Mytilus edulis: one gene and its partner. Each later gene encodes a partner of the first gene's protein in a complex. Links are inferred from orthologs where the notes say so. Each region holds a gene or a part of one and is shown on either strand. Other genes may lie near its edges. The genes, in order: oligosaccharyltransferase complex subunit ostc-B-like and dolichyl-diphosphooligosaccharide--protein glycosyltransferase subunit KCP2-like.

Region 1 (15,578 bases):
AAGTTTTAACTTTGTTGTTCTATCATTTTTTGTAACGTTTACATTAAATATTTATTTGTTTCATTGCAGCAATTTTGAAACAGGGAAACATAATTCTAGTCATAGACTGAAACCAATCAGACTTCCCAGCAAAGACACATGTGTAAAAGACAGAGACTATATGACATTCATGCCAGGAGATTATAACTATCTAGATCCTAATTATATGCCTGCAACCTAAACCATCTTGTCTTATTTGTCTGCATATAAACAAGCTTAACCAGTATGTTGTTTAGTAATTCACGCAAATTTATTCTTTCCACAACCAAATGTTATGAAACTTGTACACAAGGCGTATAACGATCAAAAGCAGATCAAATTCAAATTTGGGTGGCGTAACTTGTATGTACCAAGTCAGGAATATGATAGTTGTTATCCATTTGTTTGATGTATTTGAGCTTTTGATTTTCGATTGGGAAGGTACTTTATGTTTTGAATTTTCCTCAAAGTTTGTTATTTTGTTATTTTACTTTTTAACACTCTTCTGGAAATAAGCCATCACAGTTTGTTATTGGACAATTAGAGCATTCAAACACCCAAGCAATCTCTAATGACAGCATATAGGAAAAGTTTAATTTAGTTTCCAAGAAAACACACGACGACCAAACAACAAGAGTGCACACACTGAAATGTCTCGCCTTCTTTACTAACCATTGATTTTATGATGATAGTCCCAAATATAAAGCTTTACTACAACTATCATATAAACTTAACATGATCCAAGAAAATGATGCCAAGGTCAGATAAACCAAACTGGAAATACATGTTACTAAACAGTAACACCTTACAACAAATATGTTTTAAATGTAGTTGACCTTTTGCACATATAAGAATGATTACATGGTTTAATATAGTTGACCTATTTTATATAATATCTTAAGGCCAAATAAAATAGTATGTGTGGTTCCAGTTACATCTGAAAAAAAAGTTAGGGTATGTAGGTAGGGATTTTTTTTTAATTTTATGTTTTTTATTTACCTTGAGGCTATGGGAGCAATATTTTGACTTTAACAGTGCTTAATGAAAAATGACCAAAAAATCTTTTAGGGTAGGCTAATATTAAGACTAAAAGTAGGGTATGTAGGGTACTTCGAACCACACATATATTTTTATATGGCCAAAGAAACAAACATTGCCAGGAAATATTTACTATTGAACCATAAAAATGAGGTCATGGTCAGATGACAATTGCCCAACAGCCATACATCTTACAATCATTTTAAAATACACCAAATAAAGTTGACCTTGATTGCTTAAAGTATTATAGTAACAAACCAAAACACAAAAACTCACCATTGAGCAATTAAATATTAAAATGATGTCAAGGTCAAATTAAACATGCCAGACTGACATGAACAGCATAAAATATTTTCTTGCACCAAATATAGTTGAACTTTTGCATACAATTATAGAAAAACAGACCGAAACACAAAAAAACTTCACTTAAACCACAGAACCATGGAAATGAGGTCACTATCAGATGACATCTACCAGTTTGACCTTACAATCATTCCACACACCAAATATAGTAGAGGTATTGCTTATAGTTCTCAAATATTAACTTGACCATGAGAACTTAACCTTGTTCACTGATCAATGGAATGAAGTAGAGGTCAAGTGAAAACTGTCTGACGGTTATGAGAACCATGCAAGGTACACATCAAATATAGATATCCTATTACTCAAAATCTTCACCTTTTTCCAAGTTGTCACTGACCCATGAAAATGAGGCCAAGGAAAATGGACATATGACAGACAGAAACTTCATAATATAAGGCATCAATATACTAAGTATGAGGATCCAGGTCTTTTATCATGGTGCCACATGTAGAGCAGATTTGACTTCCTCTTCTGGAGCACCTGAGATTACCCCCCATTTTTGTGGGATACATATTTTGAGACAAATAAATACTCACTAAGGGTTTATGATACATCTTTCAGTGCACATCTTAAAATTGTTGCAAAAAATGGGATGTTTGGAGGACATTCTATTGTAATCAGAAGCAAATATAATGGAAATAGAAACACATGCAAGTATTAATAAATACTATTGTGTCAAATATTACTTTTAAGAAATACAATAACTGTCATAACTGGAAAGACCAACCAGAAAAAAATCTAAACCTAACAATGAGTCTACTTTCACCAATTCTAACAGCAATGAGTTTGATCCAAGCATTCCAGAGTTATATGATTTAACAGTGATATTGTTTGCCTTAAATTAAGGGAGAATAAAGGCTTTTACCCCTGGAGAAGAATCCCAATTTGAAAAAAAAATGGCTTAAAATTACTCACAAAAAGACAACTTTTTTCCAAAACAGTGCAATCTCAGTAGTAATTGTGCATGAATACAAACTGAAAAACACTCATTTAAAAATTTTTTCATGCCTCAAATGACTATATGTGCAGATTTGAGGGTATATTTATGTATCATACTGACAAAATGGGGTCTTATTTTAAAGCAGGGTTTGACTCTTAAAATGGGTCTGTAAATTGAAGTTTCAGTCAAATTCATGGTTTACTTTATTCCCAATTTGATGAAAATGACGCATATTTTCCCAATAAAAAAGGGTAGAGGTAGTTTTGAAAAAAGCCAACAATATCATCATTAGTGCGACATTTAGGGAAATAATTTTATTTTATATAACAGTCAAAGTCCCATAACTCTAGAAAAACATATATTGCAGAATTAAAAAAAATCCAACAGTGGGTAAATTCATCCATTTCAACAATTATGTGAAATGTCCAGCAAACTCCAGAAATGGAAAGGGGAACCCAAAAATTAAATTAAGGCATTCCAAGATTATCATACAGTCTTTAACAGTTTTAAAACGTGTAAGCTTATGTCAAGTCTAACTTTAATCAATCACAAGTCCTCAACACTATAAACATATTTTTCATCATTTTACTCTCCATGACACAGAATTGCTTTTACTTAATAGACCATTTTTATATTACAAATTTTTGAACCCAGAATTTATAATTCATCAACAGGTTACCTTCTCTGGTGTGTGACATTTTGGTGCTAGGCCAAGATTGAGCAACTAAAACAAGTAAAAGCAAAGCTTACAATCAGGAAATTCTTGTGGAAAATTAACTGATTATGTTTTCTATAAAGTGCAAAAGCAATTTGATTATGCAACATGCTGAAATCTTTTAAACTCCAGAGTTGAAAGTCAGTAATAAGAAAATGGTCTATATTCACCTGAGAATCACTATAAGTGAAGAGATGTTTTGTATTGTAGGTTCTCATAAAGAATTCCAACGATTAACAAACCATGATATTATATCTAATAAATCTAAATTCTTTTAAGTTTTTATTATACTAAACTAACAAATATCACAAATACTTTTTAATTTGGATACAAAATAATCATTTTTTTTCTTTAAAATGTCACATGATCAACTGTTTCTGCATAGTCAACAAATGTATCAAGGCTGATGGAATGCACATGGAATCTCTAGATCTTATGCCTGTAAGTAACCACTGAAATTAGAAATAAAAGACAAAGTTATCAAATGTGATGATGTAACATACAAAAGAAGGAGATGTGGGCAATGGGCATAGGATACCATGACCCCTTCAGACAAGACCCTTTCCATGTTCAGTTTACCATAAAATATGGTTAAAAACTATTTTGGCATATATATATATTTTTTGATAGTTTACAACATTATGATCACATCTACTAAGTTTCAAATTGATGTGACCTAACTTCATAATAAACTACATTAAACCAAAACTTAAAACCTAATACAGACCTAACAGACACACAAAATGAACACAGATAAGTAAAAGATAACAAATTTTTCAAATCTTCTAGCTTTTTTAATCACCTGAAATTACTATAGTTGAAGGTGGGTGCTTTGTCTTTGTTTTTTTTTTTGTGTGTTTTGTGGACTTTTATATAAACAAGAAGATGCAATATATGATCGGCAATGAAATAACTATCCACCAGAGTTCAAATGAACTTGTTTATTTGCTATTGATGAAAGTTTTGTAGTACAAGTATTCAAATCTATGTTGTACATGCTGGATCATGATTCTTATATATTTGATCATTTTTCATAATTTTCTTTCGATTTCTTTTCTGCTCAATATCTTGCCTAATGAAATAAATGCAAAAGGGTACATATGAATCTGAAAAAAATTCTCATAAATTTTTATTTCAGAAAGAAATTCTACATATTCTTTTATTCCAACAGTATTCCAGCAAACATTTGTGCATGATTGTTTGTTACATAATAGATGAATAAAATAATCATGATAAGCCATAAATATATATCATACTTACGGTAATTTCATTCTCATGAAAACTCTTGACATGAAAAATGATATTAATATTGCTGCAAATCCAATGGATAAAAGAAGGATTCTATTTAATCTAGGCATACTTGGTTTATTAGTTTGGTCTAATACAACATAACCTAGTCCTCCTAAAGTAAATAAAAAGGCAGAAGCTAATCCTTCCATTATATACTGTCCATTTACTCTGTGTGGCATGAATGCTACCTAAAAAAGAATATGTGAAACTTTCGTTAGACATTTAATATTTGACTGCCATTAATATAATTTTTGCTATGGTATTTTGCTTCTTTTTTTTTTTATAGTTTTGTTGAAGTTCTTGTTCACGATGTGCATTTAATTAAGGGTTCTAAAGATGCTTTTACAGAATCTCATTGTTATACAAAATCCATACCACTCATGAACATGATGAAATATATAAGAAATGTCATATATTTATTCAAAATCTTAATTATTGTTTATTTATTTTGTATTATTAAGAGCTTCTTGTCATTTTTTATGTATGTTATATGGACAATGGCAGGAATATGTATATGATTCATTCAAATACCTGTATGTACAAGAACTGAAAGTGTGCAATTATACATGTAATATCACTGATGTCCAAACAGACATTGGCAAATCTAAGTTTATGGTATCTTCTTTTATTATTGTATAAATGGAATTATTCCACTGTATGTTTTTGATTGGTTGAGACTATCCGACATTGAACTCTAACTTCATATTCACCTCTGAACATCAGGGCTACCTCATGTGACCTAAAAATTGATTTATGTAATGTTTCAAAGCTTTCACATACATATAGTGATACTATTGGTACTACAAATATCATGTTTCAACAGCCAATGTACATCAATGTAGATAGGCTAAACTTACGGGTTTAGAGTTGCCTCTTTCATCAGTTGTTGACCCAATGCTTGGTGGTTCCACAATCACATCATAGATTATACCTGAAAAAAATAAATCATTAATATTTGTATACAAATGAGAGTGATGAACATTTTATGTAAAAACAAATGCACAATCATTTCTTACTTTAATACCCCTATTTCTTTAGATATATGCATGTACATTCACAGTACTGCAATCTGTCCTTACACTAAATCCATTGAATGTGTACCACTACTGATTGATATTTGAGTCTTATACATGCATTAGTTTTTATTTGTTTCGGTCCTATTAGTTCAGCCTTAAATAAATTGTCTTTATGTTGTACTTTTACACCCCTGTCCCAGTTAGGAGAGTAGTGTTGGGAGTATCTTTGTGACGAATAACCATCAAAATTCTTGCCCAAAGACATTAACAGTTATTTTTGTTGCTTCACGATGAAATGTACACTTTCTTTTCGAAGATAAAAAAATTGACTGATTTTGAAGAATCATGCCTATTTTTTTTTGTAACAACAGTAACGATAATTATTTGAGACCTCTTACAAATTATGATAAGGTCAAGGATATTTCGAGGAATCACCGTATAATTTTAACCAATTTGACGCGGACTGTAGCATAAATAACCATGACACATGAGTAACAGGTAAAGGGCAACGATACCCTCAGTTAGGAGAGAGTTTGATGAAAGCAAGCATGTTTTACCCTGCCGCATTCTTTATGGGCCTGTGATGTCCATAGTCACGATCTGCAAATTACTAATACAATATCAGTTTTGCTCATTGTTGAAGGCCATACATTGACATATAGTTGTTAATGTCTATATCATGGGGCCACTTGTGGAGAGTTGTCTCGTTGACAATCATAACATTCTATTTTTTTAATTTATTTTGAAGTTTCAGTCAAAAAATATTTTAACATTTATACCTCCTGTTACAAGGAAATAAGACACAAGGACAAAAGCAAACATAGTCATTGCTGATGGTTGTCGAAGCCATGTTGGACGCTTCAATTTCAGGTTTGGACAAACCAATAATTGGTAAGGTAGAGCGTAGACTGCTTCCATGCTTTTTCGTTTGTTGATGTGGCAAACAAACCGGAAGTATACAAATGCCGGCTTTCGGTTATGAATAAAAGAAGGAAAACAAATTGAAAATTGAAAAGACCGGTACAATTCTGTCCTGTTGGACTGTCAAATTCTAGAACCTATCCGACAAAAATATTTTCACCAGATCGATGAAATATTACATTTAATATCGAAAGACAACCTTAGAACACTTTCCAGTCATGATAAAATCCAAATAATTCTGGACTGTACGTTGCACTATACTGGACTAAAAGGAAATAGTGAAAATATTGTTAAATTAGATGCAATATGCAGGCAAATGTCGTATGCGTTACATATAGCAAGATACCGATCTTTAGATATTAAAAGGAAATGAGGATATTTCATTGTTATGAACTGATAACATGTTCCGAACATCGGTACTCCCGTATTTATACTGTTGTTGTGCCGAGAGCATACCTGTCAAATAGTGAACTGTATATACTCGTATAATATGGAAATTAAACATTGCTAATTCAGTGATGCGTGGAAGATAATATGAAACATTGATATCTCCGTACTCAAGTGTATTATATAATTACCGATAATGTGTGTAAAATAGTGTACATAGATGTGGTGGTGGCCGGAATATTGACTACTCAAATGAGGTTGTCCCGAAGTGGACGGAGAAAGATTTCCTGGTAAGGTAAGGTACAATGTAAAACAAACTTATTTAGTTTAAACATTATTATTTATAGTGGATTGGGAAACAAGTTTTGCAAATTATATTTATCCCTTTCCACTTTGCGGGTGCGAGTGTTGCCTTGTAGCGGCATTAGCCTGCTCTTTTTCGAATTCTACAAGGGTGTCTTTAACGTGCAAGAGATATATGGCTCTCTCTTAACACGGGTCAGCCATTTATCGTCCCCTTCCGACGGACTGCAATCGTTTCCTCAAGACCATACTCGCAAATGGTGTCAAGGGAGAGCCGAAAACTCAGTCCCTGAAATTTTCATCCCAGACAGGAATCGAACCAGGAACCTTTGTCTTTGTGTTCGTAGACATTAGTAAGCAGTTATATATGTATCAAGAAGAGACTATCTTTTGGAAATTTAAAGGGTGGTGCAGAAATATTAAAAGAGAAGTTCAAGAATGTTTATGTCAACTCTGTTTTTTTTTTTTCTCAAATAGAACGAATTATGAAGAACATTTCTTGAGTCAACATGATCAAGTTTAAAAACACAAAACACGAAAAATGAGACTCGAATTTTAAAGATAGTTTTTAAAAAATCGATCCAATTATATATTTAACAGGATGATAATTCATAAAACCACCCCTTTTCAATAAGCTGGCAATCTGCGGCCGTTAGCTTTTTCAAAAGTTATCAAGTTGATCTTATCGTTTTATCATGAAGTAAATATGGTTCAATTTCATAACTCTTTTTAACTTTACTGTATGATTTATTATTTTCTGGTCAATATTTGTTTAAAGAAATTTTTTTCTAGACTTTCTTGTATAATCACTTTTAATGCGTCTATGAATTCATTTCAAGTTGTATTTTTTTCAGTTTTATGAAGTTAAAATTTCTATCTTTGATAATTACATATACATATACATACTTTTTATGAATTTGACTGGAGACAAAAATATGTCAAGAATAATTTCATGTTTCGTCCAATTTGTGCAATATATGCATCATATGAGCTGCGTCGGCTAAATGAAAAGTAACACATCTGTTTACCTATTTTAGGTTGAAAAAATCTATTCTATACGGAAAGTATGTTATATATGAACTGTTTGAACATTTATTTTGTATAAGAACCCTACAAACAGAATACAATTCATCTTTTATTTCGTTGTACAAAATCAAACTCGTATTCATGTACACGTATACTGTCGTGTTCTTGTATAAGGTCCATTTATAAGATTCTCAAATATAAGAATAAAAGAAGGGATAACTTCAATGTTATATATTTTCCTGTATATTTTAGTGCTTGCACTTTTGATCCTGTACAGTTAAATGGATGTCGTTGTTTTATGTCCAATGGATGTCGTTGTTTTATGTCCGTCATATTTGTTTTTAGTGAACTGTTTTGTTATAAATTATTTCGTTAGTTTTCTCTGTTGAATTGGTTCACTTTTCAAGTTGGGACCTTTTATGGCCGACTATACGGTATGGGGTTTTTCATTGATGATGGCCGTACGGTGGCCTTCAATTGTTTTCAGTCTACATCAATTGGAACGTTGGTTGATAGATCTTGATAGTTGTCAGTCTTCTTGCCGGCAATCACGCAAAATCTTTTTATTTTCATATTAGTTCATTATAAAAACTAAGGGTCCGTTTACCTTTCACACAATATTCTCAGCTTCCACCACAGGGTCCGTTGGTAGAAAGCACAGCCCTGTGTAATAAGTTGTTACATACTAATATTTCCAGATGCTACCTAGTCTGATCCTTTTCATTAATTTAATTAGGAGGTAAACATTTTAGTTCTATAATGACCCTTTCGATACGAATTGACAACCATAATGGCATTATTTGAACATTGTACATAGCCATTCCAAATACTAGTAGCCGGTGGAAAGGCTTTGTCGTAAATCGACTTCCGCCGTTGATTTTTTTTTTCATAATCTACATTTGATCTAATGGACCGAATGATACTAAGCGTTTGCTAAAACTTTACAAATGTATAAAATTGAGAATAGAACTGGGAAATATGTCAAAGACAATAACCCGACGAAAGAGCAGAAAACAGCCAAAGGTCACCAACGAGTCTTTAACACATCGAGAAAATCCCGCACCCGGAGGCGTGTATGTTTTCCAGATAACAGAAGTGGCGGATCAAGGATTTTTGAAAAGAAGAGGGCGTCATTCTATAAAACTATGCATGTAAAAAATATTTTGAGACTATCATATGCTAAAAAAAATATATCTTTCTCAATTAAAGAATTACACCCTCTTCGCCCAATCACCCATCCTCTGAATCCAGCGCTTCACTACAACCCCACCCCCTCAATGGTGTATTAAATGGAGTTGTTGTATCACTGTATATGTTAATTGAAAAATATCACGTTAAATGCTTTTTTTCTAGTATATTTAAATAGTGTAACTGGAGGAATAGAATTGAGAAAGGAAATGGGGAATGTGTCAAAGCGACAACAACCCGACCATAGAGCAGACAACAGCCGAAGGCCACCAATGGGTCTTCAATGTAACGAGAATTCCCGCACACGTAGGTGTCCTTCAGCTGGCCCCTAAAAATATGTATACTAGTACAGTGATAATGGACGTCATACTAAACTCCGAATTATATGTACAAGAAACTAAAATTAAAAAATTTAGAATGTTCACATCGTCAACTGAAATTAAGAGAAATATTTACATATTATTTGCGAAACATGACGAAAGAAGCCTTAATTAGGGATGATTTCAGTTTACATATTATGTCTTAAAACTTCTATTTTAAGTATAACAAACTACCAGTAAGTAGCACCTGAAGTTTGGCCGGTATACAAAGATATTCCAGGAGTTTCATTTCATATCAGGATTTTCTTTGTCATATATATATAAGGATTTGATTTTATTTTTGGTGTTTTAACACTATTTTAAAGCTCCGCATTTTAGGCTATTTCATGGCAGCCAGTGTTTATTGGCGGAGGAAGCCGGAGTGCCCGCAGAAAACCACCGACCTTCGATAGGAAAACTGGCAATTTTAGTCATTCAAGATTGGAGTAGAGTGCACCAGCACGAGTGGGGTTCGAACTCACAATCTCAGTGTTGATACACTAGTGATTACAGTAGTAGCTACTTAGACCACTCGGCCACCGAGGCTCCTCATATATATAATAAGGATGTTGCTTTTAAGAAAGGTACTATATTGAATCGGGATAATCTACTAGAAAGCGCTAAAGTCGGTAACAATGTTCATGGTTGTACTTGTTGTTGTATTATATTTAAAAATAACTTTCGATAGAAATAACACTTCATTACTAGAAGTAGTACTTTTTTTAGAGATAGTGATTTCGAGATTTTAATTATATGAATTCTGGACTTCCCGTACTATAATTTAACGAGGCGACAGCTTTTCCGTGTATGCAGTTACAGCCTTTACCGAAACATCTTTCATAAACAAAGGTAACGTGAAAGATCTATAGTTACTTCTGGTATTACCCGACCATGAAAGAAAAAGAAATAGCACCAAGCCATTATAAAAATGTTGTCACAAACAGTTTACAAAAAAGAACGCAAGAAGATAAAAACTACCCAAATAGGTATCTCTATCATCTCACTTAATATTTTTTCACGTGGTCTATCCTTTCGTGTTGATTGTTCAAAGTTAAGATTCATGTGGACTCTTTGGCTAAAATGGCCGTATTTACACCTCAAAATTTACTCTGAGTACAGACATACCTGTGCATCTGGAAAAAGTTTTAAGGCAAAGCATGCCCTAGATAATTAAATTTCAAATATGTTTTATGTTTTAGAAAAATAAAAAACTTAGCAGGATTTTGCAGTGCACTTTTTTCATTCCTCTCAAAGGTGCCAAAATAAACTAAGTTGGGAAAGAGATTTGAGAACTTCCCCACAGGTAATAATTGAAGTCAGCTGTATTGATTGACAATGGAAAATTGATTGACAATAGATACCTGACAATAATTTGTGATTTAAGTGTCGGTTAGTCGCATAGCTTTTGCTATATGAATTCATTGGTTAAAGCTATTTATTCATATTTATAGGTATATGCTATGAAAATTAGAGCGCGGGGTATATTCCGTGATGTAAACACGCCAATGTTTTTTCAATTTTTTATAATGAACCGTGAGGGGAATAACACATACTTTTTTTTTATGTTATCCTATTCCGCAGTAAATGAAAAACAAAATATTTACGTACTTAATATAATAAAGAAGATGTGGCATGATTGCCAATGAGACTAAATTTATTTAACAGATACAATTTAATATTTTAGTCTTCATTATCTACACCATTTCGACACAGACACAGTCTGCCCAAGCAATTACAGCATCTGTTGTTTCTTCGCAAGTTGAAATAATTTGATTTTCGGGTAAAAGATGTCCAAATGTCCCGTTGTCTAGCAACAAAACTTCGAACGGAAACTTTATTCCTGCTGCTTTTGCATAATCTGACGAAATACCACCTAATGTAGCTCTCTGTGAAGTTTGTCTCAATTATACACAACTCCATGACGAGCTGCCGCGGCTAATGCTGCGGTTTTAGCACATTTATCTAGGGTCGATTTATCAGGTACCGGATCTGTCGTAAATCCCCAAGGGTATATCCACAGTTGTATACTTAGATAACCAATAAAAGCCTTTTTGTCGAGCCTTCGACTTAGGGTGCTGGTGCTATAAACAGTTTCGTACTAAAAACTAGGGGTATTTCCCCAGTGAGATTTACATACTGATGGAATTCCCTGCTATTTATATACCACTAAATGAAAAAGTTGATTGTTTTTTATGTTCAATATGAAAAACATATATTGAAGTTCAATTAAAATGCCACTTTTGTCAACTTCGATTTTAAAAAAAAAATGTTTTTGTGACTTCCTACTATATGGGAGGCAACTCCATAAACAGCTGATTTTCACCTGTTGCAAAAAGCACTTTGATTTGTCAGGTAAGATAGCTCCTTTCGGAGCAGGCGAACGTAGGCTGAAACTACATTTTCTTAAATCAGCCGGATAAGCTCTTCGAAATGCATATTATAAGAAATCTCAAATATATGCACAGGTTACTGATCCGTGTGTCCAAAGGTGGTCTGTTTTTAAGGTTTTTTAGGGGGAAAATGCCTAATTTCCAGCTGATAACTTGTACCAATTTGCATGTTTAAACAAGAGATGTTGGATTTTTTTTTATTTATTCAGAAAGTTCATAGAATTATCTTTCCATTGATGTATAGATATCTATATAACTATGAACATCTGACTTCTGCATGATGGGTCCACTATTACATGCCCTGTTACAGAATGACGTCACGTAAAAAACTGTTGATTGCACCCTTAAGTCGAAAAAGCGAGACAAGCGATCCTACATTCCGTCGTCGTCGTCGTCGTCATCGGCGGCGTCCACAAATATTCACTCTGTGGTTAAAGTTTTTAAAACTTTCTTAAACCATACTGGATTTCAACCAAACTTGGACAGAAGCTTGTTTATGATCATTAGATAGTATCCAGAAGTAAATTTTGTGAAAATAAAATTCCATTTTTTCCGTATTTTACTTATAAATGGACTTAGTTTTTCTGCGGGAAAACATAACATTCACTCTGTGGTTAAAGTTTTTAAAATTTTAATAACTTTCTTAAACTATCCTGGATTTCTACCAAACTTGGACAGAAGCTTGTTTATGATAATAAGATAGTATCCAGAAGTAAATTTTGTAAAACGATAAATCCATTTTTTCCGTATTTTACTTTAAATGGACTTAGATTTGCCAGGAAACAACACATTCACTCTGTGGTTAAATTTTTAGAAATTTTGATATTTTTCTTATACTATTTTTAATTTGTACCAAACTTGGACAGAAGCTTGTTTATGATCAAAAGCTATAGTATCTAGAAGGACATTTTGTGAATATTTTGTACTTGTGTAACTGTATTTTACTTATAAATGGACTTAGTTTTTCTTCCAGTTAACAGTTTTTAAAACATTTATTAGATTCATAAGCTATCCTGGATTTTTTCCAAAGTTGGACAGAAGCTTCTTACAATCAAAAGATAGTATCAAGCGGAATATTTTTATTGATTTTTTTCCTCATTTTTGTTGAGCCTGCAATTAACAGCAATAGTAGTCGAGACACTGGGTTCCGCGGAACCCTCACAAATTTTTTAAAATTTGTCTGCTCTCTGCCTGACTTTCTAGTTCACTGAAAGGGGCCGGACCTGGATACAGCTCATTGCATGGATTGCTACTAGAACCGCCGTTTTCCGGATTCCAACCAATTCCATAATTTCTATTCAAGTCAGTGCCTATGCATGTTTCATTAAAAGGATTTCTGTTTTTTCTCCAAAGACGCTCAAATTATTGGCATATACATAACCATCTGGATTTAAGACCGGTATTAAGTACCAGTCGAATTGTTTGACAAGGTAAAATCCTGCTTGGGTAGTTTTTAGGAAATTGAGAAAGTACAAAACAAATGCATGTGAAATAAAATCCCGAGGATGAATTCCACCATCAACTAGAATAGCTTTTTTCGATTTTCCCTTACAACTCCCACATTGCGTCTTCTGCCTTGTAACCATCTTCACCATGTTTATTTCAAATGTTTCTCTTCTCGAATGTTTTACCGATGATCTCAACGTTAGACGTAACCTTGCCTTGGTAATTCGAATTAAAAGTTGTCAAGTATTTTTAGCTCACCTGGCCGAAAGGCCAAGTGAGCTTTTCTCATCACTTGGCGTACGGCGTCCGTCGTCCGTCGTCCGTCGTCGTCGTCCTGCGTTAACTTTTACAAAAATCTTCTCCTCTGAAACTACTGGGCCAAATTTAACCAAACTTGGCCACAATCATCATTGGGGTATCTAGTTACATAAATGTGTCCGGTGACCCGGCCAACCAACCAAGATGGCCGCCATGGCTAAAAATAGAACATAGGGGGTAAAATGCAGTTTTTGGCTTATAACTCAAAAACCAAAGCATTTAGAGCAAATCTGACATGAGGTAAAATTGTTCATCAGGTCAACATCTATCTGCCCTGAAATTTTCAGATGAATCGGACATTTCGTTGTTGGGTTGCTGCCCCTGAAATTGTAATTTTAAGGAAATTTTGCTGTTTTTGGTTATTTATATCTTGAATATTATTATAGATAGAGATAAACTGTAAACAGCAATAATGTTCAGCAAAGTAAGATCTACAAATAAGTCAACATGACCAAAATGGTCAGTTTACCAATTTAGGAGTTATTGCCCTTTATAGTCAATTTTTAACCAATTTTCGTAAATTTTCGTAATCGTTTAGAAAAATCTTCTCGTCTGAAACTACTGGGCCAAATTTAACCAAACTTGGCCATAATCATCATTGGTGTATCTAGTTAAAACAATGTGTCTGGTAACTCGGCCAATAAAACAAGATGGCCGCCATGGCTAAAAATAGAACATTGGGGGTAAAATGCAGTTTTTGGCTTATAACTCAAAAACCAAAGCATTAAGAGCAAATCTGACAAGCTAAAATTATTGACCAGGTCACGATCTATCTGACCTGGAATTTTCAGATGAATCGGATAATCGGTTGTTAGGTTGCTGCCCCTGAATTGGTAATTTTGAGGAAATTTTGTTGTTTTTTTGTTATTATCTTGAATATTATTATATATAGAGGTAAACTGTAAACAGCAATAATGTACAGCAAAGTAAGAACTAAAAATAAGTCAGTATTACCAAAATAGTCAATTGACCCCCTACGGAGTTATTGCCCTTCATAGTCAATTTTTAACAATTTTCTTAAAATTTGAAGATTTTCAATAACATTTTCCACAGAAAGTACTGTTATAGATAGAGATAATTGTCAGCAGCAAGAATGTTTAGTAAAGTAAGATCTACAAACACATCACCATCACCAAAACACAATTTTGTCATGAATCATCTGTGTCCATTGTTTAATATTCACATAGACCAAGGTGAGCGACACAGGCTCTTTAGAGCCTCTAGTTCTATTTTATCTAATGTATTGTACATGTTAAAATCAAAGGCAAAACATATTTGCAGCAAGAATGCGACAAAAAAAAATTGGTTCATCTTTCGAATTCTGGAATTATAAAAACACAAAAACAAGCCGCAATTTCTGATAAAACATATTTTTAAAATGTATTGAAATCATAAAATAGTTAAGTTATATCGCATAACGCATTAAGATAACCTTTAACACCGAATAAAAATCGTCAGTTCCCTACATGATACTGATAGCTTTTTCAATAGTTATCAAAGGTACCAGGCGTATAATTTGATACACCAGACTCATCAGTGTCACTCAGATCAAAATAGTTAGAAAGCCAAATAAGCATAAAGTTGAAGAGCATTGAGGACCCAAATTCCAAAACGTTGTGCTAAATACGACTTAGGTAATATGTGCTTGGGAAAAGAACATCCGTAGTATTTCGAATAATTCATACTTTGCAAACAGTTAATTTGTAAAAATTACCATATAATTGACATTTATGTCAACACATCAAGCCTGATACCTCCTATCCCAAGACAATATTCCAGGGCTTACATTATCATTATTATCTACAGGGAAGTTATTGCATGAAAGGTTTCAAATGGTAAAGTTGAAGTCATACTTTCGAA
Region 2 (16,073 bases), on another chromosome or scaffold:
CATTGATTATTCCCTTATGAAATTACTGAGAAACACTCTGTATTTTTAAAATGTAGTAGGTTCTATCTATTTGGGGACCATGTTTGTTAATCAGCAGCTTTGCTAGATGTATCATAACAAGGCATGAACATTGTGTTTTCTGGATGGTTTTTTGACCTGCCACATTCTAATTTATACGTGCCTATATTCCAATCTTTCAGGAACTACAACTGCAAAAATAAAATTCATTAATATCGAACTTGACCACCGTTTTGTCAACAGTAACAGCCTATCAAAATGTTAAAAGCATTGGTTGAACTGTTCATGAGTAATTGCATGGAAACCACTTAGAGTGCCATTTTTTAATCTATCAAGGACATAACTCCTGATTGACAAAAGTGAAAGACAACATCAGTGCCATTTTCAACTAATTAAGAACCAAAACTCCTGAAGAACAGTACAAGTACAAATCATCAATATTGAACTTGATCTCAATTTTTTTATAATGGCAGGACATCAGTAACACCATATTATAATGTATAGCATTAGTTGAAGAGGTCACAAGTTATTGCATGGAAACTGTTGGCATTCGATGTCAATATTCACCATTTTTACAACCAGATTTTTCCTTTTGAAAAACTTAGTTTAATTGCACACCCTAGGATTAATCAAGACCAATTTTAGTTTAAATTTGATTAAATGTTTTGAACATGTACAAGAATTTCTAGAAAAAAAAGTTACACATTGGACAGAAATGAAAATAACAACAAACACACAAAACTTAACCTTATCAGGTTATCCATAGTGAAGGCTTGCACTGAACAACGAAAAATTCATGAAATTTTCTAAAACAATTTTATAATTATCTAATACAAAAGATGGTCGTTGTAGATCCCTCTAACGCTTCTTCTTTCCTGGAGTAGATTTCCCTGTTGACTGCACAGCTACAGGAGCATGCACTTTCTGAGATATCTTATTGATATAATATAAAGCCACCAGTGAAAATATAAAACTGAAATGAAAAATGGAATTGTATAAGTTTTTCTTCAAGATATATTTAATAAGTTTTACAAGAGTGTCTGATATATCTTGATACACTGTCTAAAGTTATCATAGTATTCTGCCATACTGGAATCCATCCAGAGTTTTACTGAAAAGAGCATATTTGTTTTCAAAAATTATAATTGCTTTTAGAACTTTAACCAATACTGAGAAACTCACAAACTCATTTTTTCTTTTTTCTTATGATAAGGCCACAACAATTTAATTCTTTGTTCAACGGACCCGCCCGCACCTATTTTTTTCAAAACAGATTTTTTTTTTTTATATTCCTGCTTCCCGCATCCTGAATGTAATCATGTTCATTTCCCGCACGTATTTTTTGTAAATATTATAAAAAGATATCAACATTTGTTTTTAAAATCACAGTCTAACCTGTATATAACGATTTTAAACCTATAAGCACCCCATTACACTGTGTAGAAACCAATTTATGTTTTGACCATTTAATACCAGATATATATATAGTTCTTTAGGAAAATATGAAAAGTGTTTTTTACAAAAAAATATATTATAACTTATATTGACCCCTCATAAAAGGGATATTTATAACATTAAGGGGTTGTTCCCAACCTGATTATGACTTGGATAGAGAATTGTCTCATTGTCAGTCACACATACATAGACCAGATTTATTTATTCAATTATTTCTTGGTGAACAGGGAAAAAATACTTCATAAATTAAAGAAATGTCAAAGTATAAGTGATAAAAGTTTTAATATTGTCACAACCTACTATTTTATCCTCAACCTTTATATATGTTATGTATTATCATCAAATACAAGTTACATTTCAATATTATGAATGAACACGAATGCGGCCAATACTTTCATTTTAGATGGAAACTGTCTAAAATTTTACTTAAATGCTCAAATTGTGAAGATAGTAATTTAGCATGACTTAATGATGCTAGTACCTGATATATGTGCATTGTATTGTCGAAAACAGCCCATATTTATGTAGCAGAAGCATTCCACTTTCCAGTAAATAGCTAAAAGATTACATTTTCATACTTTTGTAAAACTGCTATATTTTGGGGCCAAAAAGGGGGTTATTAAACCTACTCCTTTGCAAATTCAATTTTTTATTAAAATTTTCAAATCGCTCGCTCGCGTCAATTTTTGCAGTCCAAAAATCCGTAGAACAAGAAATTAAATTGGTGTGGCCTAAATGTTTTTATATAAGACTGCATGTACATTCAGTAAAATATCCAAAGATAAAAAGTATATGATTTAGACATTCTCTTTAAATCAAAAATTAGATTGTCAAAGCTTTAATGATATAGTCATCCATGCCTAAAAACTGTATTATTATGATAAATGACAATAACTATTATGCTTACCAAGTTGTTACACAAACTCTGTGTATGAGACCAGAGGCAAACATGGCCATGGCTAAACAAAAGGCAACTAAAAATAAATAATGTGTCATAGTCAGTAAAAACATGAATAAAATCTATAGAATTTGTAAAGAAAAATTTCTGTTATCTTCCAACTTACATGTATACAAGTATCCCTATTTAACAGTTACAGTTAAAATGTACTGCCCTATATCTATTCGTGTGCATGCAGAATCTATCTTTTGAATTGTTTATGTGTTCTTAATCTGAATATCCAGGCATTTTTAGGCACTGGATGATAAAATACAAACCACAATCAATCAACATCAACAAGCAAAAACACTAATTCATATAAAAAACATAAATGATGAATACACACATTATTAGAGCATTTATCATATGTATATTTCTCTTCAAAGTACAAAATGTATTCAAACTTCAATTAAATTATGTATATATGTCATGTATGTAACTGTATGAACTCCATGAATTGTATACATCACAAATTAACAATAAAAGTATATTTTTTATATAAATTTCTATTAAATAGGCAATTCAAGAATGTTTACTTTTCAAAATATACTTGCAAAATAACACATATAAAACCACTCTCAATTCATAATTTATGTAAAATTAAAGACTTACCTTCTGGTAGAAGTTTAGTTTGGAATCCACTTCCAAATAATGAAGTTTCAAGATTACTGACACCCTGAAATAAGTGTTAAGGAAAATATGTGCATGTTTTGTGATCCTTTATCTTTGTAATTATATTCCCATCCAAACAATGAAATCATTTCCAAATGAACAATGGATATGATGGGCTGTCAGATTCAGCAAACCAGATTTTCCCACATGAAAATGAATTTGGAAAATCTGGATCTCAAAGCAGAATCAAGTAAAAAAAGATTTTCATCCAAATCATTTCAAGTCATGCAAGTTATTGCTTGGAAAACACTTTAGGTATCATGTTGCTCTACATGAAAGATCTATAACAAAAAAACAATAAAAGCTAAAATCATGATATTCAAAGTTTGACCTTCTTTTAGTCACAAGAAACAAACAATGCAACATATCTAATATAAATTTGATTTCGTCAAAGTTTTTTATTTATAAGTTATTGCACCAACAATGCTCCAAGTACAAATAAATAAGGAATGTGTCCAATGATGGCCCCATTTGTCTATAAAGTTAAAAAGGGATATAACTAAAGAACAGTAAAAGGGATGCTGCAAAATTTGCACAGGATCAGATTTTGTGGTAATAAGTATTGTGTACATGTTCATAATATTTGGATGAGGCACCTTTAGTTAGAAAATAGAAACAACAAATTCAGCAATTTTTACTTGTGTAAAGGAGCATAACCATAGAAAGGTAAAAGTGATGCCACTGTATTTCAAACTTTATAAGTTTCATAACATTTGGTTGAGGCAAACTAAAGTTGAGAAAACAGAAATCAATTTTGGGACATAACTTCTCATAAGGACAGATGTGCAAAGTACATGTACATGTTCATGTACAGCATTGTACAGACGGACAAGGATAAAACTTAATGCCCCGTCTGCTACGTAGGGGTATTAAATATATCACTTTATGCTACTTAAAGGGCTATAACTCATCAATAATAAAAGCTTCAATTATGAAATTCGAACTTGACCTTCATGTAGTCACAGGAAACAACATAATTTATTTTGAAAGATTTTCTCAAAGCGTTTTTAAGTTATTGCACGAACACTGTTTGACAGCTGCCGTCCCACCTAGCTATTGAATATTTCTTTATAAATTGCTTTTCAGTAAACAGGCAAAGACAGGAAAGGATACAGTCAAGACAAACATGAACACCATACTACCAAGTAAACCTCCTAGTATTGTCATATATTCTGTAGCTGCCAACTGTTGTTTGAACATCTGCATTACAGCAAACATTGACATACCAAGTGTCAGAGAAATCACACTCGAAATAACTGGTGATAACCCTGAAATAAAAAAAATAAAAAATTCATGGAGTGTGTATTTCTGTAATATCACACAGCACAAAAATTATAAACATGTATATAACGTGGGATTTTCAAATCTTTGTATTTTGTTAAAAGATACATAACAAAATTCATAATAAATACTTTTCAACTTTTAAATAATGTCTTTTTTGCTGGTTAATGGATATATAGAATCGGGGCTCGTTTGCCCAAAAACACAGTCTCCTGCTTTCACTTTCGCACCCTACATTTTGCACCCAACGTGTGTATGCACCCTTTTTGTACTGAATATTCAGAATCAATCTTAAATTAGGATTTGGTTGTTTTTTCATTGTTTCAAAATAAAGTGAGATCAAAGGGGCCAACCTGTTAAAAACAATTATCTTTCATGTTTTTTATTTAAAATCGTCAATGTTTTAATAGTAACCAAGCTAAATACAGTAATAAACATGATAAATACATGCAGTATATACATGTACATCAAAGCAAGTTAAAACAACAATCATGATTTTCAAACACACAACAATAATACTGAATACAATCAATGTATTTGAGGTGCGAACATGTAGGGTGCAAAAGTGTATTAGGTCTGAGCATGATACCTAGCTGCGAAAACATAGCTCTTAAGGTCCTTTTGATGATTTTGATATTTGCGGACCATAGACAAATGTGGCAAAAAAAATAATTTAAAGGACAATAGAGCTACACGTACATTTTCACAGCTAACCTGATACCATGAATATATATATAGTGTACATGGTGTATGCAAAAATATATGACAAACCTGACATGTAAACATAAAGAACAAATTTTATGTATGCTAAAAACAGAAAAACAAATATTTGGGAAGAATACAATATATTCAAGGGGACTTGTGAAAATACATTTGTACATGGATGGTACCATCTTGAATTAAACCCTCAATCTCGGGATCTAAACATTGCTAAAGGCAGGGCTCTAACTAGATGAGCCAGAAAAGATCTTCCCTGACATCATGAACATTAACTCAACCATATACAGGGATCTCCATGGATGAAAATTGAACCATGGAGGAACTTTTACCATTACAAACCATGTCTACGCTGTACAGTGTAGCGCGATCAGAAGTATTTTATCCCTCCATACAAGGAATGGTGAACATGCTAATTCATTGCTTATTTAAATTATATTTATTTGAATTTTCATTATAGAATTAGAAGTATCAATATGTTCATTTATTGCCGTTTTTAACCATTCAAATGCCAAGTCTTCATAGTCCCCCCTTAGTTGAGAATGACCAAAGGTGTCATGAAGGTCCCCATGTAGATTTCTTGTATTTTTGGTAATTGTTATGGGGGTTAAAAATCATATGATGTGGAGCTTATTTTTCGTGGACACTGTCAAATTCAGAACCCATTACCGGTATGGCTGATTTGCAGCAACAACAAAACGATTCGTACGGGTTATGTAAAAGGTTAAAGAGATTTGTAAAGCAAATGAAAAGGTTTTTAATGACTTTATCTGACAAATTGATGCTGTGCAACATGCATCTTTCGAGTCTGAATAGAAACCGGAAACGCGGATGTATCAATTTGATTGTAATATACGAAATGAATTCGGATTTACGATACGATATTTCTTTACAGGAAATATTTATAAGTTTTTACTTTTAAACTTTTAAAGTCATTCTAAATTATTGTTACAGCAGTACTCGAGTTATTTGTGATGAAATAATATTTACTGTTTTGCGTCTTATTCTGTACTTCTTAAAAAAGGGGGATGCTGATTGCGTAAGTCAAAATAAAGCACGTGTTCGACTTGTTAAACTGTTTTCTTTGTAACTGGATTATTAATTTATTTATTTAATCTAAATTATCATAATCATTTGCTGAACTTAGCTGATTAATTCGACAAATGGATCGTCTATCCTCAGATAGTATTCTCCTGTCTGGTTTGTTGATCTACCTGTACAAGCTCAGGTACAAGTGATTATAGCGATCTTAATCCGGATATCCCTCAGGTGTTAGAACTGTGTTGGATTATAACATAAAAAGCCTAAGGGTTATGCAATTACATGCATTTGATTATAATTGATAAAAAAAAATGGCGTCGGGCTACAAAAATGATGAAGTTTTGAACGATGGCGGAAGACAATTTAACGATGGCGCAGGACAATTTAACGATGGGGCGAGTCATTTGACGATGGCGCAAGACATTTGAACGATGGCGGGGCGCCATCGTTAAACAGGCCATGGAGATCCCTGCATATAGGATCTCCAGGTCTTCAACACTTTTCCCCCTTTTCTTTTATTGGGACCCCTACCATCCATCCGAGCAGGTCCAGCAGCTCACTGTACAACCCCGAGTCTTCCACTCGGAAACCCTCTGGACAGTTGTTGTGTCACCTTTACATGTCACAGTCATTCTATGACCTGGTCAATCTCATGACCATATCAAACTGTCAGGCATTTCGGGTAACATTCTGTCTTTACAAGTGTTATTCAGATATTTAAAACAGTGTAATTCAGTCATTCGAGGTACAGAGGCATTTATATACACTTGTGTGTAGAAGTAGTAGACGTTGCAGCACCAAATTTGTTATGTAAATCCATGGATGGTACCAGGGGAATAATATTCGAACCCTTGATCTCTGAATCTAAAAGCAGCACTCTAACCAATTGAGCCAAAATTTTTAATTAAGAATTGACATTTGTAAAATTGAACCAGAAATTTTTTTTGGCAGAAGTCTCAGAGACAGAGTTAGCTGCGGAACCGTAGCTCTTATAGGTCCTTATGTTATTATTTTACTACATATGTATTTGTGGTCCGTAAAATAAAAAATATGACCATAAGAGTTACGGTTCCGCAGGTAAAAGTTACTAAAACAGAGTACGATTCATCTACCCAGGTACATGTACATGAATGATGTAGATTAATCCGCATGCAGCGAAAACCTAGACCACAGTCAACGTCTTATCAGATATAACTGTTATAATTTGCAAAGTATTAACTGTTTTAATGTTTACCCATTTTCCCTTTCCAACTTTTGCAATGAAATAGTAAATTGCTTGCGTGGCCGGCTTGTCGATAACAGAGTTATCTTTTCTTGGCTAAAGGAAATGTCGTACAATCCCGGAATGGACAAAAGGGTGCGTATTTTAAAATATTTGTACAATTTTAGCTTTGAAAAAAGAAACTTGTGTTATTATTAGACCTTATTAATTTATATCTTATATATTCTGTATCAAACGACTTTTTAAAATCTAAATATCAGTAAAATTACCATTCTCCAGTTCTTCAAACCATGTTAATATTGCTTTAAATTTTTTAATGAGTGCTGTATGACAAGAATGTTTTGTCGGCTCGTTTTTGTCTAAATTCAAACTGCTGTTGTATTTATAATTTGTCTGTGAATTGCATATGTTATTGTTAATAATAATATTGTTTGTATGCTTTAAGCCGTCCTGGGGCCCTAATTTGGTCAATAAAAATATTCTATTATATTCTATTCTATAATTTGTACGTTATGAAAAAATATAAATTACCGTTGTTTAATTTTTCAAATTACTTTGACACAGTGATTAAAATTGAAATATGTCATAAATTGTTAAATTTTAAAATGATCAAAATCGAATGAAGCAGACCTACTTACTGAGGGGGGAAGGGCGCCATCTAGATTACCAACTTAAATTTTACATAAATTTTAGCAAACTCTTATATAGTTAGGAACTATTCCTGTACATAAACTAAGATAAGTCATTTTAAATCTTATTAAATATTGTTTCATTGCACTTTTAAAGATTTTTATAAATTAGTGTAACTCAGTCTTATATGCTTTACTTTTAGAGAAAAAATACTACAATCATCAAACACTAGAATTTAATGTACATATAATTCTTATATGTTTGAGACTATTGACTATGTAGCCTTTATCCATAATATTTTACATATATACAACAAATGGAAGTTTTAACGACCTTGACTGGCTATACAGCCCTTGCAAAGTTTTTAACGACCTTGACTGGCTATATAATACAGTTAAAGGAAGTATACAGCCTTAGCACGGTCGGTTTTATATATACAACAACAAATGGAAGTTTTTAACGACCTTGACTGGCTATACAGCCCTTGCACGGTCGGTTTTATATATATAAGAAGGAAATTAGACTATGATAAAATAAAGTAATACAGTTAAAGGAAGTATAAATATAAAAAATAATTTTCAACTTTTTAAAAAAAAAATTGTATAAAGGTATAAAAATAATGAAAAGTTATTTTTCAATATGTATTTGAATTTTATATTTTTATGATTTAATCTTTTTCACCCATAAAACGTAAATATAAGGAATAATTTTGAATGGTGACAAATAAGGGGAAGTAACTCTAGTTCAGTTTGTAAACCAATGGGGCAATTTATTTACGACCTAAAGCTAAGGTAATTGGTGTTAATTAACAGTGTGTTTGACACCAAAGCTGTCAAGTGAGGCCATGCACTTAATGGGCCACTTAATTTGACAGTTTACATAGCTAGATGAACTTCCTGTTCATGGAAGAATTACGAATTTGCCGGTATTTCAAAGGAATATTACTTCACGGCCGACACTCGGCTAACCGAGAGATTGGTCGGTTAATCTATATTGAGTATGCGGCTATATCGACAGTGGGTCTGTTAATCGGGTTGGCTAAAGTCTGTTAATCAGGTGTTATCGAGAAAATCATTGAAAACTCAGAATGTTTCATTGTATAACCTTTTAAATATATGTTTATCATAAAAAATATTTATGTCTGACAAAACTATTCAATGTACTGAATCCAGTGGTGTAATTATTATTTTTCTAGCTTCTATGTACGATCTATAAAATGAAAAGGCAAATTACTCATCAGTAAATTTATACACATTTTACACACACCAAATGTACACAAAATGACACTTGGGTTGAATTTACTTGCATGCACTATTTTGAACATCGAAAAAAGACAGGCATTATGAGTGTTAACCAAATTGATATCATTTTGTGAAAAATCTACACGAAAATCTGTATTTTGGTGACATAAATCAATCTTTATTAAAAACCTGGTCTGTTAATGGGTCGGATGTATAAAACCCGGTCTGTTAATTAGTCTGTTAAGTGTTATGAATGACAATAAAAGTATAATTTTATTACTTTATGGTGTGTTCATTTGGTAGGCTCAAGACGAGCGGCTAAAATATACGGAAACAACACTTGAGCAATGGAACATAAAATATATACGGAAACAAAACATGAGCAATGGAATATAAAATATACGGAACAAAACACATGAACAATAACAATGTAGGCAATGGATATTGAAAATTGATAAAAATGGTTTCAAAAAGTGTTAAATTAAGGGAGCTACCATTTGATTTTTATGGGGGGGCTAGGATGAAAAATTTTGTCCTGCATTTTTTTTTTAGCTGTAATCTCTGTCCTGCCTTTTTATTTTTCACTCTGTTCGGTCCTGCCTTTTTTTTTTAGTTTATCCTGACTTTTTTTTACCTAAATTGTCGTCCTGACTTTTTTTTTTTTGCAAGTGTCTCATCCTGCCTTTTTTTTTACTCAAAACTCCTTTCCTGCCTATTTTTTTCAAATTTCATCCTAGCCTCCCCATAAAAATCAAATGGTAGTTCCCTAAAGTAAAATTGATTTTATCCGAGAATGGTCGCATATATCATGTGGATTCTGTTTAATTGTCATGAATGACACCAATTTGTCATCTACCTTGGTAACCAGTATATAAATCAGAGATTAACGTCGTAATGTAACTAAACATCAGTATATTGGGATGCCTAAATATAAAGAATAGAGAAAGAATGAGGGGTAAGATAAATAAAATGTAGAGAAAAGTAACATAACCATTTAAAGAATACAGAAATAAACAACACCCCCCCAATCCGTACCCTCATGGTATACACGAGAATCTGGATGGAGATACAGAATACAAAATAAAAGATAAGGACAGTAGAGAGTGATGCATTGCTAAAAAAGAGAAGAAAACAAATTGTTTAAGAATAAAGACATGAAACCCCTCTGGGTGTTGAAACAGTAACGGATTGCGATGTACTCATATTGGTGACAAATGCTTGACGTTTACATGTGGACACCTGCAGTTCTCCTCTGCACATATGTAGAAAAGGAACTAGACGGAATAAAATGAATTAAATTTTAATACAACCAAATGTATCTACATTCGCTCCTTTCCATTTACTTCTTTAGAATGATTTGTAAACAACAGATGAAAAACCAATTGGATGATGCTGAGGGATTAGGATTAAGGTGGTACCGAACACTTTCACTAAAATCAATGTGGTTCGTTTAATTTGGATAAAATTTTGACAAAGTATTTAATTTGAATCTTTAACAGAAATATAAAAATTTCAAAAAATTTGAACCAACCGTTTTGTCATTAAAATTAACTGGTTATATAGCAGTTTGACAAACACCAATTTTGATCTTCGAGAAGCTTATTATTCCCTTTACAACACAACGCAATTAAAACGTATCACTTACTTTACAGAGTTATCTCCCTGTAGTGTTGGGTACCACCTAAACGTCCAGTGACAAATGTCATGTGCATATGAAAACGACAACACGTTATATATGTACCCTGTGTTGTATTAGAAAGACACGTTCAATCGGATTTGAGAACATGCTACTTTGAGCAGACACAAAAATTAAGGCTGATTGAAATCGTTAATAATAAATTCATGCATATTCCAGCGACCAACCCAGATCACGCTATATTGAAGTGACACACTCTTGAGTAAAATGCAAAGAAAGTCAAAATACAAATGCTTTTACTGGAAGGATAGTGTTGCATCGTAATATTATTTTTTTGTCGAGCCTTCGACTTTAGTCGAAAAAGCGAGACTAAGCGATCCTACATTCCGTCGTCGTCGGTGTCGTCGTCGTCGGCGGCGTCCACAAATATTCACTCTGTGGTTAAAGTTTTTGAAATTTTAATAACTTTCTTGAACTATACTGGATTTCTAACAACCTTGGACAGAAGCTTGTTTATGATCATATTAAGATAGTATCCAGAAGTAAATTTTGTAAAAATAAAATTCCATTTTTTCCGTATTTTACTTATAAATCATGGACTTAGTTTGTTCTGCGGGGAAACATTACATTCACTCTGTGGTTAAACTTTTTAAAGTTTTAATAACTTTCTTAAACTATCCTTAGTTTGTACCAAACATGGACAGAAGTTTGTTTATGATCATAAGATAGTATCGAGAAGTAATTTTTGTAATTAAGTAAATCCATTTTTTTCCGTATTTTACTTTTAAATGGACTTAGTTTTTCTGCGGGGAAACATTACATTCACTCTGTGGTTAAAGTTTTTAAAAATTTAATAACTTTCTTAAACTATCCTGGGTTTGTACCAAACTTGGACATAAGCTTATTTATGATCATAAAATAGTATCCAGAAGTAAATATTGTAAAAAGATAACTCCATTTATTCTGTATTTTACTTTTAAATGGACTTAGATTTTCTTCCAGTTAACATTACATACAGTCTGCAGTTAAAGTTTTCAAAACATTTATTAGATTCATTCACTATCCTAAATTTTTACTAAACTTGGACAGAAGCTTCTTACAATCATAAGATAGTATCAAGAGGAATATTTTTATTGATTTCATTCCTCATTTTTGTTGAGCCTGCGATTTACAGCAAAAGTAGGCGAGACACTGGGTTCCGCGGAACCCTTACAATATTTTTTTTTACTCAAGAACAACTCATTTTTAACATTTTCAATGGGAAAATATAAAGGTAGCACAACTATTTTCGTGGCTAAATAACTCTTAACTGACACAATTTCAATTGTCCAACCCATTAACAGACTTTATTCACATAATTTTCACTAAAACGTGGTATTACTCACGTTATATTACAATTATGAAATATTTACTAATGTCAATTTATATTTAAGAACCAAAGTAGTATTTTGTGTCTTTTAAATGATATCTAAAATTGTTTATTTCGCCTTTTATTAAAAAATTGCTATGCGTGTAATCATAAATACTACATACTTGCGCGACGCCTTTTACTTTTACTAAAAACTGCGCAGACTATGAAATGTTTTTAAAGGTGGAAAATGTTCTTTGATAGATATCATTTTGTCAGACACTTTTCTTTTTTTGATTTAATTCTTATAATATGCCAAAAATCTGTATATTTGATCGAGTTTAACATTAAATTGTGCGTTTTACTCTTAACAGACGTATAGCCAACCCGATTAACAGACCCACTGCCGATATAGCCGCATACTCAATATAGATTAACCGACCAATCTCTCGGTTAGCCGAGTGTCGGCCGTGTACTTATGAAATCAATCTCAAGGCTAAGAAATACGGGTGAAATCGGGTCATTTTCGGAATTCCCGGGTTTTTCAATGACCTGGCGGGTGATCCGGGTGATCCCTCAGAATTGTGAAAATCTCGGGTCACACCCGCAGAATACGGGTCAGTTGACAGGTATGTTTTAATGAACTTCAGTTAACTTTGACTTAGTATTGTGAAGATATTTTTAGACCTTTTAAGATTTTATCATTTGTGATAGCGAAAATTTATCATCATCTTTTATTTGGGATTTGGCATATTATTGATTTTCTCAGATTCAAAATGTGTGTGGGGATTTGGGATGATATTCTCACTTTAAAGCATGTATTATTAATCGAATACTTTTAAGGATTTGGCGGGATTCGTTAAACTGCCTTGATCACATGTAAAATATACATATTTTTTTTAACTCAGTTTGGATTCCAATACTGTTGTGTTTATAGCTTTTCATAGATAAAAAACAGACTATTTCACAGAGCATACATCATGTAACGCCTTCAGAAGGACACCTCCGGGTGCTGGAGTTTCTCGCTGCATTGAAGACCCATTGGTTGCCTTCGGCTGTTGTATGCTCTATGATCGAGTTGTTGTCTCTGTGACACATTCCCCATTTCCATTCCCAATTTTAACTATAAAAAATCCTTCTAGAAATCACAAATATAACATTGTTTATGCACTGAATAGTCGTTGATTAATAATAGCTGTAGCCTTTTGTTGAGATCAATACGAGATGATATCGACATAGAGAAACTTATCGATCTCGGACCTCCTCCTTAGTCCATATGCTCGAGTCCATGTCGATATTACCTTGAATAGACTTCATACAAATGCTGTAATTGTATATGGTACATCTCATTTCCATGAAGATTTATTGGCCCTTTACCTTCATTCATGGTTCATTGACTCGGAATCATTTGCACAACACAACTTACACTGATGTTAAATTATGCTATTTTAATTTCAAAATTTGCAATTTACTATCAAAATATCAAAAAGGCGAGACATATATTTGTGTTAACCAGTGTTAAAAGTTTATATAATTGGAAGGACTTGTCATTCATTTGTTAAAATGTCAATTCCCTGTTTTGTTATGGGATTAATATCCTTCAAAAGCCTCTTAAGAATTTTTTTTTTTTGATTATTCATGGCATCCGTATAAAATATTTTTGCTTTTATGATGAACGAATTTATTGGCTTGTTTTGTTCCAGTGTTTTTAATCATTCTGCAGTGTCTTTCTTTTTGTGAAATTAACGTCTTTGTAATTTGGATTTACAAATCTAATCAGTATACTTAACGGTTAATAATTATTTGTTTACGCGTAAAGTAACAACAGGAGCATCTTTATATAAAACATTGGCAAAATTGAAACGTCCGGTGTTAAACCTTTCTAGCGAGATATCATTCAAGTACCATTGCGAGCCTCCCATTGTCGACAACCAATCTAATTGCTAAAGATAACGTTGATAACCCATGTTAGGCTATAAATAACATTGGATATCTCGTTGCTCCCAAATGAACTTTGAGATTTACAGTAGAAGATAGTGAATAACAATAATCACAAACATAAGTTTTCACCGTTCGTCGCGAGATAACCACCCGTGGTCAGATGGAAATACATCATATAGACTTAAACCGTACTCATAGTGATAACGTAATAGGTAAGATAAGTATTTTTGTTTCATATATATTTTTTTTTTTTTTATCAAAAAAGCCTCCTTGTTTAAAACATTTATCTTTAAGACACTATTCATAGCCTCATACATGTACGTACATCGTAATTGAAACAAAAATAAACATATATAACTGTATGTCTGGGCTTTGAGAGAAATGTATAAGTCCCAGATTCTGTTGCAAAGTAGATCTTATGAAAATAAAATAGAATTTTATTAATGATTATTTATTTATTCATATTTCCTGGCCAGGAAAAAAGGGGGGTAAACAAATTATCGATTTCCCTTGAAAATACCGTAAGAGGGGAAGGAAATACGTCATTCCGTTTAAAAAAAAAGAAATGTTATTGTGAGTACTGTATTCTAGAATGAATAAAGAGATATCCCAAATATAGCTTTAGCAAAGAAACAGCAAAAAAAACACACAGGTGTCTATATTTACACACCCATCGAAAAGTTGTCATAAATCACGCATGTGGACACTGGTATTAATTAACGGCCAGTTTAAGAAGTCAAATCAATCTGTGAGTGTTTTACGCTCTAGATAAGAAGATTCAGTCGCAAAATTATGTCAGAAAACTGTTTTTTGGATAATTGTTATTGTAACAGGTTTAATATAATTAGATTTTGTAAATTATTATAAACAACACATAGAAATAAGTTTAAAAATATATGCAAATTTATAAAGGTTATAAATTCAGTAGCAGGTCTTCCTGGTTAGCCTTTGTCAACTCTCAGTCTGCTCTATAATAAATTTTTGTATATATATATATATTTATATAAATAGTAATTGCAACATTCCTATCTTAATTTTGTCATGCGCACAATTTATTGTGTATACTAAGTATCATTATTTCATTCTTTGTACATGTACCAATGTGTATACAGTGGTTTTAAAGAATAAAATTGTCTTGTCTGGTCTTGTCTTTATGAAATATTCAATCAAGCAGCTGGCATTACCATAATGGTCGGGTATAATATTGATTGTACTCGCGTGATTTTCCAATAGAAAGAATCAAGGTGTTGATTGTTACCAAACGATTTCATGTGTTTGTGTGTGGCTATTCTCCATCTTTGTGTTTGTATATTTTTGTTCGACGGAGATAAAGGACGAATACTGATCGAACTATAAGGCACATTACGGTAAAAACGAATATATTTATGGATCGAATAATCGATGACTAGGTTAGTATATAAATACATATTAGTTTTAACCTGTTTACTTATTAACATATTATTGATTATCGGATATGTTGAAATAAATCCCGGGTCTGACCAATAAGACGAAGATACTGATAGTACGTACCGTTAGTGGAAACTGCACTTATTGAAAATAACATATAACCCTTACTATTAGGCATTCAAAGCATATGATAGTCCCCTTAGCTAAATATGTTATCGATAGATCTAGAATATACTGAATATGATTTGATATCATTTACTGAGAGTTGGCTGAATCCAACTGTGAATTATATAGCCATTGTATTAATTATCATCATACATGTATAACGTGTTTCGCAATGATAAAACTAATCGCATCGGAGACGGCGTGGAAGTGTATAGAATAGAAAATATTAACTTAACTGGATATATATGCGTCTGGTAAGAACTCAAATAAAAAAAAAATCTTTTTATATTGAACAATTTACATACCCCCAAAATAGTTCACAACATGTGATGTTAACATTAAGTTGACCTTGCGTTTTCTCT

What was found.
Region 2: oligosaccharyltransferase complex subunit ostc-B-like (region 1) and dolichyl-diphosphooligosaccharide--protein glycosyltransferase subunit KCP2-like share a complex: the UniProt entries of both Drosophila melanogaster proteins name them as parts of the oligosaccharyltransferase (OST) complex. The link is inferred for Mytilus edulis from reciprocal best matches to the Drosophila melanogaster genes CG9662 and CG31460.

Annotation. Positions count from the first base shown.
Region 1 is NC_092345.1:45,472,964-45,488,541, forward strand, and holds oligosaccharyltransferase complex subunit ostc-B-like, read right to left. Parts: upstream 6,348-15,578; 5' UTR 6,299-6,347; coding exon 6,160-6,298; intron 5,296-6,159; coding exon 5,222-5,295; intron 4,553-5,221; coding exon 4,335-4,552; intron 3,527-4,334; coding exon 3,508-3,526; 3' UTR 3,344-3,507; downstream 1-3,343. Other genes in the region: ZZ-type zinc finger-containing protein 3-like, read left to right, coding at 70-220. UniProt on the Drosophila melanogaster protein: Subunit of the oligosaccharyl transferase (OST) complex that catalyzes the initial transfer of a defined glycan (Glc(3)Man(9)GlcNAc(2) in eukaryotes) from the lipid carrier dolichol-pyrophosphate to an asparagine residue within an Asn-X-Ser/Thr consensus motif in nascent polypeptide chains, the first step in protein N-glycosylation.
Region 2 is NC_092347.1:14,660,196-14,676,268, reverse strand, and holds dolichyl-diphosphooligosaccharide--protein glycosyltransferase subunit KCP2-like, read right to left. Parts: upstream 7,419-16,073; 5' UTR 7,360-7,418; coding exon 7,356-7,359; intron 4,351-7,355; coding exon 4,196-4,350; intron 3,087-4,195; coding exon 3,023-3,086; intron 2,448-3,022; coding exon 2,381-2,447; intron 992-2,380; coding exon 877-991; 3' UTR 821-876; downstream 1-820. UniProt on the Drosophila melanogaster protein: Subunit of the oligosaccharyl transferase (OST) complex that catalyzes the initial transfer of a defined glycan (Glc(3)Man(9)GlcNAc(2) in eukaryotes) from the lipid carrier dolichol-pyrophosphate to an asparagine residue within an Asn-X-Ser/Thr consensus motif in nascent polypeptide chains, the first step in protein N-glycosylation.